Saccharomyces cerevisiae S288C: one gene and its partners. The gene in region 1 interacts genetically with each later gene. Each region holds a gene or a part of one and is shown in the gene's direction. Other genes may lie near its edges.

Region 1 (2,256 bases):
AATTTAACCAGTAATCTGGAGTTTCCACCTGGTAACCGTCAATAATCTTTTGAGCAAAGATACCATACTCATAACGTAGACCATAACCCCAGGCAGGGATGCCTTCCGTTGCCATTGAGTCGACGAAGCAAGCTGCAAGACGACCTAGACCACCATTACCTAAACCTGCGTCCGGTTCTTGGTCCAAGACATCCTCTAACTTGAAACCTAAATCATCCAAAGCCCCTTTAATCATTTCTCTTGGTTTTCCCTTTGAGGCAGCAGGGTCTTCCGGATCTTCAATCTTCATATTAATCAGGGCATTATCCAAAGCCCTACCCATCAAAAACTCCAAAGACAAATAGTAAACTCTCTTTGGGTCTCTTGTGGTGAATTTCTGCTGAGTTTTGTTCCAGTCAATGACCAAATTGTCACGAATACTCATCGAAGCAGCTTCATAAGCAGCCATGTCATCACAATTATATAGGGAACGTGCTAATGTAGTTTCCACATGGTCAATGAATCTATCTTGAAAATCTTCTGCCTTGTTAAATTTTTTGACTTGATGCTTATTCCATAACGCTCTTGACTTTAAAGGAATCATCGTGTCAATTGACTTGATTTCTTGGGGAAGAAACCCCGTAAGTCTCCTTGTAAGCCTTGGGATTTGGTGTGGAGAAGTAGGTTCTTCGGTTATCATATCATTGGTAGTACTAGTACTAGCTGGCGGCATTGTTCAAAATTAAATTAAGTTGAAAGCTGCTTTACTGAAATTGTAATGTAGAGAAGTCAAAAAAGATCCAATTGTTTTTCTTTTGGATATTTTTAGTAATCGTTACCTTCTCAATCTGTGCTTACTTTATATTACAATAGCAAGCAGAAAAAACTTATAATACTTCGTACGTAATCAAAACAAAAGGTACAACAAGAAACGGGAAGGCACAAAGAATCTTGCTTTACTGCTATACAAACTTCATGCTCCTTTTATACATATAATATATTCGTCGGTGTTCCTTCCTTATCTTTGTAGCATGCACATGGTAGTTATTAACCTCCCCTGAAACTTTTTTAGCGAAAATTATCCACCCCTTACTTATTTCCTCGAGAGTCTCTAAAAAGTAAAAATACAATAACGGTAATTGGGGAAGGCGTTCCTTGTTAATTCAAAATGTTATCCTTGAAACATAGAAGGTGCTGGCTGCATCTCGCAGAGCTTCCTCTTCCGTTGAGCGTTGTATTCTTCCCCCCACAGTGCTACTAGGCGATGCCGCTACCCCTTGAAGGGCCTTCCCGCTGTGGGGCAGCGGCCTTTTTTCCTTAGTGGGAAACAAGCACCGGGGTATATTTCATTGTCTATCAGGAGAAGAGATCGTATACAAATGTTCGTGAGACGGTTTCATCTTGACTAGTTGCCTTGCTAGTCGGATAACTAGTGGAAAGCAGTAGGACACTCCCGATGAGTTTGCGTTTCCACGGGGTTTGACAGAGCTACCTATTGTCTTTTTCATCGAAGGAAACGGTAGTTGGACCTTGCCTTGGATAAGTTGGTGAATCATCCAGAGCTTTAGAAGGGAGCAAAAAATAAAATCTGCGCAAGCCCGGAATCGAACCGGGGGCCCAACGATGGCAACGTTGGATTTTACCACTAAACCACTTGCGCTTGTTATTTACATGAGTGTGGTACTTCTATTGATGGTAGGTGTTCCATTACTTTTTTCGTCTTAAGATGAGCGAGCAAACACAGGGAGAAAATAAAGCGCAATTATTTACCTCATAGGGTACACAATATCCGTGAGAAAAGGATGAATTTGAAATAATTATACAGACTCCTTTTTTTTCAACGTAAAATTATAAGCATAGATTAGAGGCGCTCCTGGATAATAATAGGAACACACACAAGTAAATCAGCAATTTCTCATATCGTACTTATTCGGTAGAGTTAATAATATTCTACTAAAATAACTACTGGTAAGTAGTGAGAGCTTGATTTTTGTACTAATAACTTGTTTCAAAAAAAAAAACGAATAATCAGTTTTACAAAAATGTGTATACCTATATAAACAATCTTAGAGGTAAAGTTCTCCCTCACTAAAAATAATAAAAAATTACGTGCAGATGAGAACCCCGTCTTACCTTAGTATACCTTTAGTTCCCTTTATGACCCGATTTGAACGATAAGTCTTTTATATTTTATTTCTTCCTAAAAGAAAAATGTATGCATTGTAAGTAACTTTTTATGACCATGGTAATAATTAAAGCCGAGGGCTTGTAGATTTA
Region 2 (2,812 bases), on another chromosome or scaffold:
CTCTTTTCAATCTATTTTTTGAAAACATGAGAGTCCTAAAAGAGCTAACTTAAATGACCGGGGCAGATTAATTGAAAAGTTTGAGGTTTTTGTGATAATCTTCAAAGTTGAACGCATGTATAAAATGATAGAAGCAACAGTCCATTGAGAAGTATGCCACTATAGTCATATATATATATATATATATATATATATATATTTACGTATTAATTGATAAACTATAATACCAACGGCACTTGATACTTGAATTCATCTTACATTTCCAGTGATGATTTTTTTTTCTGGGACTACGCTGATAAAGAAAAATTGCAAGAACTGAGAAACCACTTGTTTTGTATGGCACTTTGACTTTCGAATAACACATAATGTTCGTTATCAACTGTTTAAAGTCGATAAATGTATAATCACTGCTTTGACATAAGTATATAACATTCCGAGCAGAAATAAATTCTCTTAACGCGTTCTTGTAACTCCATAGAGGCTCTTTGGAACTTTTCGTTTGACGCTCACACCTTTTATTTCGTTAAAGTACCGTTTTGCCAGATCCTTGCCAAAAACCAAAAATATTTTTCTATAAAATAATCCACAGGCATTACACAATGTCACCTCTCCATCAGGACCCTCTCTCCATTGCGGAGAAGTTTTTATCACCGCACACTGTGGACATCTCCTGGTGACGCCTTTCCTCTTTTGGACATTGTGCTGAACAACAGCAGTATTATTCGTTGTGACATACAAAGATGCACTAATGGGTTTAGCAGTATTGATTTTTGTTTGAGAGTGAGGTTTTTCGCAGTCTATTGTCTCCTCTACCGGATTCAATAACGATTCAACGGAGATTCTTTTATATTCTGGATGACACAAAGTCTTAATGTTCATAGCAAATTCTTCCTTCTGGCTTTATATTTGCTTCTAGTTGATAATTGTTTACATTTAATGAAATTGTTTCAAATCAAGAAAAGGTAAGATAAGCTCCCTCAAAGAACCTCTCGTCTTATAATATACTCTTCAAACAGAGCAACAAATATTAATTAACATGCTCGACCATTTGTTCTTTTCCATCAAATTGGACCCTAGACCCTTAAAAACATAGATATGACTGAAGAGGAGGTTTTTGACCTCTAGCCTATTATTCCATTTTACAGAGAAGCCTACTTATTTTCTGTGGCAGGCGGCTAAGCAGGTAATGTTGTCCGCATTTTATCAGAAATACTTGCCAAGAAAAAAAAGGGATTTTCATATAAGGGGATTTTCTACAGGTGTTTGTGTGAGTATGTATTGCACCAAATAAGTACTGTGTTAAAGGTTTTGTTGATGCGTTTTCATCGGGGTTAATAGCGTCTAATCCTTCAAGGGAGCTGTAAGTGATACTTTCATTATGCAAACTAAAGAAAGCTGAAGTCCTGGTACGCCACCTGGCACTTCATCTGGCTTCTTTTATTTTTTTATACACAGAAAATAACTTACTTACACTTTTTTTGGAAATAAAACCATTGTCTCGGGGAACATATACATATATATATATATATATATATGTATATAATACCAACTGCAATAAAAGAAAAGAGTCATATTATAAGTATAATTTTGAATGTTCTGTGCATTTTTCACTGTCGAATAGCTTGCTTGTCATGCCAAATAATGGGTTAAATCGCTGTGTGCTGACAATGTATCAAATAATACTTCCCCTAATTGAATGTGTGGCGCTATCCGTATATCCGGACCCTTTTTCAGGGCCGGTCTTGGCATGAAAAAATGTCAGAAGCATGAGTAGAATTAAGTCGAGAACAAACTAATATGAAGGGGATGTTTAATGTAAAAACGTATAAAAAGGCCATGTTCGAGGTGGATAATAGAACAACATTCTATGAAGACGGCAGCTTCAAGACAGAAAATATTCATAGAGATTAAGAGAAAAAGTCTCGAACATATTCAAATGAAGACTGTCTATTACAAAGAAATCACCTACCAGCAGTATCTTCAACTGCAACCTGAACAACAGGAAAAATACCTGGCTTTATGTCAAAAAGATTTTGAACAAGAGACTGAAAGAATTGCATTTGATCGTCAAGGAGGTGTGCCTGGTATTGCTAGGAAATTTGCACAAGAAGAAGTTGCTTGGTTCGATCGCGTTACAACATGGTCATATATGAATGCTTATATTCCGAGCTACAGAAGAAGAAGAAACCTTTTAAAGATTGATATGTTAAAGATGTCTAATGCTGAAGAATACTGAGAATAATTTCGAGCGCCGATCCAAATATTAGGTTTGCTTTATCTTTTTTTATGAAATAAGTTCATGAAATATGAATACTATACCACTACGCATATATATATTTTAAGAAAATTTTCGAATGAAACTTGATGAAATTAGTCCATTAAAAGTGTATGGGTAATCGAAGAGCCCAAACTACCGTTAGTATAATACTTTGTACTTTGTACTCAATACTTAATACTAATTAAAGTCTGGATTACAGTGTCCTATGATAATTGTGTTAGCTTTTCATCTTTTATTGCGACTACAGTTAAATTTTATGGTTTATTTATTCCTCGTTGTTTCGATGCACGATGCGAGTAATTGCAGGATCTCTTCATTGTGCACGCTGAGTTGTGGTACAATGTCCTCGGGTAACGGTATCGTACCTACCGGTATTTTCACCGCCACTCCACCTATAACATTCATCTTCAAACCATGTAGTACCTCTTGAAGTTGGTCATTACACTTACTACCGCCATGACCGCCGTAGCTTACCACCAGGGCAGGTTTTCCGTGCCATTCATGGTAAAGACGATCAATTGCATTTTTTAAGGC
Region 3 (2,772 bases), on another chromosome or scaffold:
AGCCAATGCGCAAGCATTGGCCAAGCCCTCTGGATCCAAGGCTATTTCATTGGATGTTACCGATGACAGTGCCTTAGACAAAGTTCTGGCTGATAACGATGTTGTCATCTCTTTGATTCCATACACCTTCCATCCAAATGTGGTAAAGAGCGCCATCAGAACAAAGACCGATGTCGTCACTTCCTCTTACATCTCACCTGCCTTAAGAGAATTGGAACCAGAAATCGTAAAGGCAGGTATTACAGTTATGAACGAAATTGGGTTGGATCCAGGTATCGACCACTTGTATGCGGTCAAGACTATTGATGAAGTTCACAGAGCTGGTGGTAAGCTAAAGTCATTCTTGTCATACTGTGGTGGTTTACCAGCTCCTGAAGACTCTGATAATCCATTAGGATACAAATTTTCATGGTCCTCCAGAGGTGTGCTACTGGCTTTAAGAAACTCTGCTAAATACTGGAAAGACGGAAAGATTGAAACTGTTTCTTCCGAAGACTTAATGGCCACTGCTAAGCCTTACTTCATCTACCCAGGTTATGCATTCGTTTGCTACCCAAATAGAGACTCTACCCTTTTCAAGGATCTTTATCATATTCCAGAAGCCGAAACGGTCATTAGAGGTACTTTGAGATATCAAGGTTTCCCAGAATTTGTTAAGGCTTTAGTTGACATGGGTATGTTGAAGGATGATGCTAACGAAATCTTCAGCAAGCCAATTGCCTGGAACGAAGCACTAAAACAATATTTAGGTGCCAAGTCTACTTCTAAAGAAGATTTGATTGCTTCCATTGACTCAAAGGCTACTTGGAAAGATGATGAAGATAGAGAAAGAATCCTTTCCGGGTTTGCTTGGTTAGGCTTGTTCTCTGACGCAAAGATCACACCAAGAGGTAATGCTTTAGACACTCTATGTGCACGTTTAGAAGAACTAATGCAATATGAAGACAATGAAAGAGATATGGTTGTACTACAACACAAATTCGGTATTGAATGGGCTGATGGAACTACCGAAACAAGAACATCCACTTTAGTTGACTATGGTAAGGTTGGTGGTTACAGTTCTATGGCCGCTACTGTTGGTTATCCAGTTGCCATTGCAACGAAATTCGTCTTAGATGGTACAATCAAGGGACCAGGCTTACTAGCGCCATACTCACCAGAGATTAATGATCCAATCATGAAAGAACTAAAGGACAAGTACGGCATCTATCTAAAGGAAAAGACAGTGGCTTAAATAAGAAGAAATGTATCAAAAGGTTTATCATACGTAACAGTAACGGCACTTTATAAATCTTTCTTTAGTATTACTTATACTTTCATAAGGAAACGTAAAAAAAAAAAAACCGGAAAGAGGGACAAAATGGACTAGAACGTAATTGAGAGTGTAGTTCCTGAAGCTTGAACCGCTAGTAAGTCGTCTACCTTTAGTCTAAAAAGTATTGGCTATTGCATTTTATAGTCTTGCTTCTGATCAGAACGTATTAAATGAGCTCGTAAAGACTCTTAGGAGTTTTTCACTTTTAGAGATTAATACTATTAGGAAAGGTGCAAAAAAATAAAACGCCAACTAACTATTAGACGCTAGGCCCTAATACCAACTACCAGTATAACTAAGATTTCACGCATATGATGAGTCAAGTATCGCATTCCCAAGAAGGATCCGGGCGATTTTGGAACAAGTTTAAGTCGTCAACCAAATCGTTATCTACATCGTTGGCACATTTATCCATTAAAGCAGAAAAAGATGGTGATACTGTAAATACTACATTGGTCCATAAAGGGCTTGTGAAATTCTATGAAAATCAGCATCCTTTCCAGGGGTTCCCAGGATGGTTGGGGGAGAAGGAAGATTTACCGAACGAACGTAAAATATTAGATACTCAAGTGAAGCATGATATGAAGAAGCAAAACTCGCGTCATTTCTCGCCATCCTTTTCTAACAGAAGGAAGGCTTCTTCAGAAGATCCTATGGGTACACCTTCTTCAAACGGGAACACACCGGAGTACACGCCTGCGAGTAAATCGTTTCAAGATATATACAATAATCATACAAGCTCCTCTAGCGCGACACCGAGAAGAGCTTCATCACGGCCGACTAGACCTTCAGCAGGCCAAGAATTCAGGGCAAGTCTCGGTCGAAGTAAAACGTCGAACAGTTTCAACACCTCCAGCACGCCAACGCCGCCACCAGACGCAAGTAGTGGAGTAATGGCAATGAAGGACAGACTAAAGAGACGCAATAACGATTATGGATTTTAAATAGCACTATACCTTGCTGAAATAAAGCGAAAAGAACATTTAATGAATATATAGGTATCGTATATGTACTGAATAAAGTGTTTGATACAGAATGCAAGGAGATAATATAGTATGGTATATAACCTCGTCCTTATTTTGAATATACATGAAATTACAACGCTTCCCTAGAGACCGAATCAAACGCAGGGATTTTATAGTAAATGATAATCAATCATAAAATTTCTCTCAATGGAATACTAACGACACTACTCTCATCGAATGGGGTATCGCTGTTCTCAAAATTTAGGTAGCTATGATCATGCATAGGTCTTGGTTTGAAGATGACTTTTATCAGGAATAGTATGGCGAAAAGAGTTGCAATCCCGGCAACAATCAAATAAACAATCCCTAATGCCTCGTTTCCAGCACCGATAATACTGTTTGTGGTTAATACAAAAGATTTTGTTCCATAGAAAGATCTTACTGGGTAGTTGAGTTCTATATCAGCAATGTAAATACCCTTACCTAACCCAT
Region 4 (3,777 bases), on another chromosome or scaffold:
GTCACCATTGAATAACGTTGCACTTCAACCTGTCCGTTTATCCAACTGTTTATATCGGTAGAAATAAGGGTATAAGAATAAATTGGCTGGTCAATTGATCGATGAAATTATCGAGCTTTTTTTTTTACTGCATGATCCCTGTCTTCTGAGGCTGTGTAACTTTTTTACTGCCTAAGAACTCTCGGACCCTTCTTTGGTGTTGCCTCAGAAATAGTATGGTGTATTAGCACCATAATAAAAATTTTTACAAAAGCCACTATTATCCTCACTCACCGATGAATGAACATATATGACCTCCAAGATATTCGATCTTACTGAATGGGGTAGACTTTATAAGCGGTTGCCGATTAGCTTAGAAGAACAATTCCTTTTTCTTTCCATTTGGTATTGTACTTTTCTAATGAACTTGGTTAGTTCTGCTTTATCTTTTACACCTGGAAACACAGGCCATAGCACATGTCATGATTTCCGATTTTATTTCTTTTGATTCTTTCGTAATCTGCAATTTCATTGATCCATAGCAAAGGAAACTCTAACGCAATAAGAAGAAAATTATGTTTGTACAATAGAGTTAAATACGCTGCTATTTTCGTCAGAATAAGGTTAATGATTATTAACTCTTAAAAAGTCGATTTTTGATGCATCAAGAAGGTAAATTACCCACAAATTTTTAGCCGACTGTGTATTTTCATATCGCTTCGTGCTATTTTATCTTATCGATTATTTGGTAGTCAATGAAGAAAGATTATTTGGTAGCCAATGGAGAAAGATTATTTGGTAGCCAATGGAGAAAAATTATTTGGTAGTCAATGGAGAAACATTATTTTAATCCTTATATTTCCATTAAAGTGCAACACTGGAAGAATTGATACTTCTATGGTACATAATTTGTTAACGATCGTTAATCTGTGCCATCTTCTTCCCATATGTTCTTAAAATATTCGTGATCGCTTTGAACTTATTGGGCAGTATTTTTTTACTGATTATTTAATCATCAAGAACTTTTCTATAAGTTTTGAAAGGAAAAAAAGAGGAGCAATTGTGGAAAAAAGACTAACAAATGGAACAGTATTAGGATCTCACATTAATCGGTTTATGCATCGCTATTTCTAATTGATACTTTCAGGAAAAACGTATTTTATTATAAAATGTTATTGGCCAGACGACAGTGATCGCGCTGAGCACTTTTTCGAGTATCGGGTTTACTGTTTTGATGGTCATTACCATGTTGACAATTACCAGATAAACGAAATAAGCAGTGAATGGTCGCCAATTACAATCAGAGTTTAAACAACCCACCAAAACTTCCATTTTTAACTATGCCGTGCACCCTGTTCCGCACCCTGTTTGTTCCAAACCGCGCTGTCGCACATTTGGCATAATGTAATGACAGACACCTCAGGGCTCAATACGCGAGTTCTAGGAAAGGGTGCAAAAAAATGAATATCTAATATAATATGACACTCGTATACCATTTTTGAAGTGAAGTTTTTGCACTATTTAAACTAATGATTATCTAACTTTTCTATATTCCTAATGCCGTGTTTATTTTCAGAAAGTCCTTTTGTTCGCCTGAATAATAATAGTAATAACAATACAATACCCGAAAATGAAATTGTCTTCCGCTTTTGTATTATCTGCTATCACCGTTGCCGCTTTAGGCGAAAGTATTACTACTACGATAACTGCTACCAAAAATGGGCATGTTTACACCAAGACTGTCACTCAAGATGCTACTTTTGTCTGGGCAGGAGAAGGCGCTGCGGTAACCTCCGCAGTAACTGAAGCGTCTACTGTCGCTGCAACGTCTGCTGCCGCTGAAACATCTGTTGCCGCTGAAACATCTATTGTTGAGCCTTCCACTTCTGCTCAGGGCACCTCTGCTGATGAAGGGTCTGGTTCGAGTATAACCACCACTATTACAGCCACCAAAAATGGACATGTCTACACAAAGACCGTCACCCAGGATGCTACTTTCGTATGGACTGGAGAGGGTGAACGTGCTCCTGCCTCAACTGTTGCTACTGTCGAAACATCTGTTGCCGCTGAAACATCTGTTGCTGAACCTTCTACCTCTGCTCAGGGCACCTCTGCTGATGAAGGGTCTGGTTCGAGTATAACCACCACTATTACAGCCACCAAAAATGGACATGTCTACACAAAGACCGTCACCCAGGACGCTACTTTCGTATGGACTGGTGAGGGTGAACGTGCTCCTGTCTCAACCGTTGCTACTGTCGAAACAGCTGCTTCTCCAGTAACATCTGTTGCTGAACCTTCTGCCTCTACTGATGAAGGATCTGGTTCGAGTATAACTACCACTATTACAGCCACCAAAAATGGACATGTCTACACAAAGACCGTCACCCAGGACGCTACTTTCGTATGGACTGGTGAGGGTGAACGCGCTCCTGCCTCCACCGTTGCAACTTCTAGTATTTCTGCTATTGAAATTCCCTCCACTACTGAGGCCTCTATTGTGGAGGCTTCTTCTGCTGTTGAGACTTCCTCTGCTGCTGAGACTTCCTCTGCTGTTGAGACTTCCTCTGCTGTTGAGACTTCCTCTGCTGTTGAGACTTCTTCTGCTGCTGAGACTTCCTCTGCTGCTGAGACTTCCTCTGCCGTTGAGACTTCCTCTGCTGTTGAGATTTCTTCTGCTGTTGAGACTTCTGCTGTTGAGACTTCTTCTTCTTCCTCTACTATCGAGACCACTTCTGTTAAAAGCTTATCTCCTACTCAGACTTCTCTTTCATCTTCTGTCCAGGCTTCTTCTCCTATTGAGACTTCTTCTGCTGCAAAAACCTCTTCTGTTGTGCCAACTTTTTCTTCTACTACTACTGAAAATTCCTCTAATTCTAAATCCACGTCTGCAGTTGTAGCATCTACTACCACCTCCTCTGAGTCAAGCGCTACTATTGTTACTCCTACTAGAATTGGGCAAGCTTACACAGAGAGTTCTTCTAGGGATGCCCAATCTGTTCGTACCCATGAAAGTAACAATTGGTCATCAAGTTCTTCTGCAAGCACAAAAATGGTATCCTCTATTACAAGAGTTCAAACCACTACCGCTGGTATTTTCACTAACGGTAAGTCGTCCACAACTCCTCAAATCGTGAATTACACGGGTGCGGCTGATTCTATCGCCGCTGGTACGGGTCTGATGGGCGCTGCGCTCGCTGCCGTTATCTTTTTGTAATTTCTGCTAACGACAGATGCGCAGAATCAACCTTTCTGATCTCTCCGTGGTCTTACTTTTCAAAATGGCATTGTGAATTAAGTATTTCATCATAGTTGATAAAGCTTATGTCCGCAATGTTATTTGTCTGCGTGACACTGGCTGTCTATAAGAATGTACCAGTATGTAATATTATATCAAGAAAATATCAGGTGTTGATTAAAATAATCTAAAAACAATGTCTATTTCACTTGTTAAATATGACTTTTCAAAAATAACCATTTTATTTATTTCTTGCTTTTTAAAAGGTGAGAGTGGGTATTTGTTTTATCTGACGCCAAGGAAAATAAAAGTTAAAAAATGACATGATGATTTTATAGTTCAAAACAAGAAATGAACTTTCGTGTTTGTGATCAGATTCAAATGGAGTATAATACTGAAAGAAGGTCGAGAAAGACAAGCAAGCAAATTCACAACTTCATTGAGCGCATTTTATTGAAATTACCTGTAGCAATGAGTAGTTCAGTTTGTCATATAATTATGTTTTTGTGAGAAATTTTAGCTTTTGGTACTGTGCCAGTTATCCGAATTTAAAAAAAAAA

What was found.
Region 2: mutations in YPR159C-A (region 1) and YLR012C together harm fitness more than expected from each alone (negative genetic interaction), as found in Saccharomyces cerevisiae (one large-scale study listed by BioGRID).
Region 3: mutations in YPR159C-A (region 1) and MSO1 together harm fitness more than expected from each alone (negative genetic interaction), as found in Saccharomyces cerevisiae (one large-scale study listed by BioGRID).
Region 4: mutations in YPR159C-A (region 1) and FIT1 together harm fitness more than expected from each alone (negative genetic interaction), as found in Saccharomyces cerevisiae (one large-scale study listed by BioGRID).

What each region holds. Positions count from the first base shown.
Region 1 is NC_001148.4:859,762-862,017, reverse strand, and holds YPR159C-A (uncharacterized protein), read left to right. Parts: upstream 1-1,602; coding exon 1,603-1,704; downstream 1,705-2,256. Other genes in the region: GPH1 (glycogen phosphorylase), read right to left, coding at 1-712.
Region 2 is NC_001144.5:169,406-172,217, reverse strand, and holds YLR012C (uncharacterized protein), read left to right. Parts: upstream 1-1,936; coding exon 1,937-2,236; downstream 2,237-2,812. Other genes in the region: GAT3 (Gat3p), read right to left, coding at 454-879; LOT6 (flavin-dependent quinone reductase), read right to left, coding at 2,540-2,812.
Region 3 is NC_001146.8:712,510-715,281, reverse strand, and holds MSO1 (Mso1p), read left to right. Parts: upstream 1-1,626; coding exon 1,627-2,259; downstream 2,260-2,772. Other genes in the region: LYS9 (saccharopine dehydrogenase (NADP+, L-glutamate-forming)), read left to right, coding at 1-1,234; YNR048W (putative aminophospholipid translocase regulatory protein), read right to left, coding at 2,471-2,772. UniProt on the Saccharomyces cerevisiae protein: Involved in secretion. Component of the secretory vesicle docking complex.
Region 4 is NC_001136.10:1,502,733-1,506,509, reverse strand, and holds FIT1 (Fit1p), read left to right. Parts: upstream 1-1,609; coding exon 1,610-3,196; downstream 3,197-3,777. UniProt on the Saccharomyces cerevisiae protein: Involved in the uptake of non-siderophore sources of iron and the siderophores ferrioxamine B and ferrichrome. Has a role in the retention of iron in the cell wall and periplasmic space.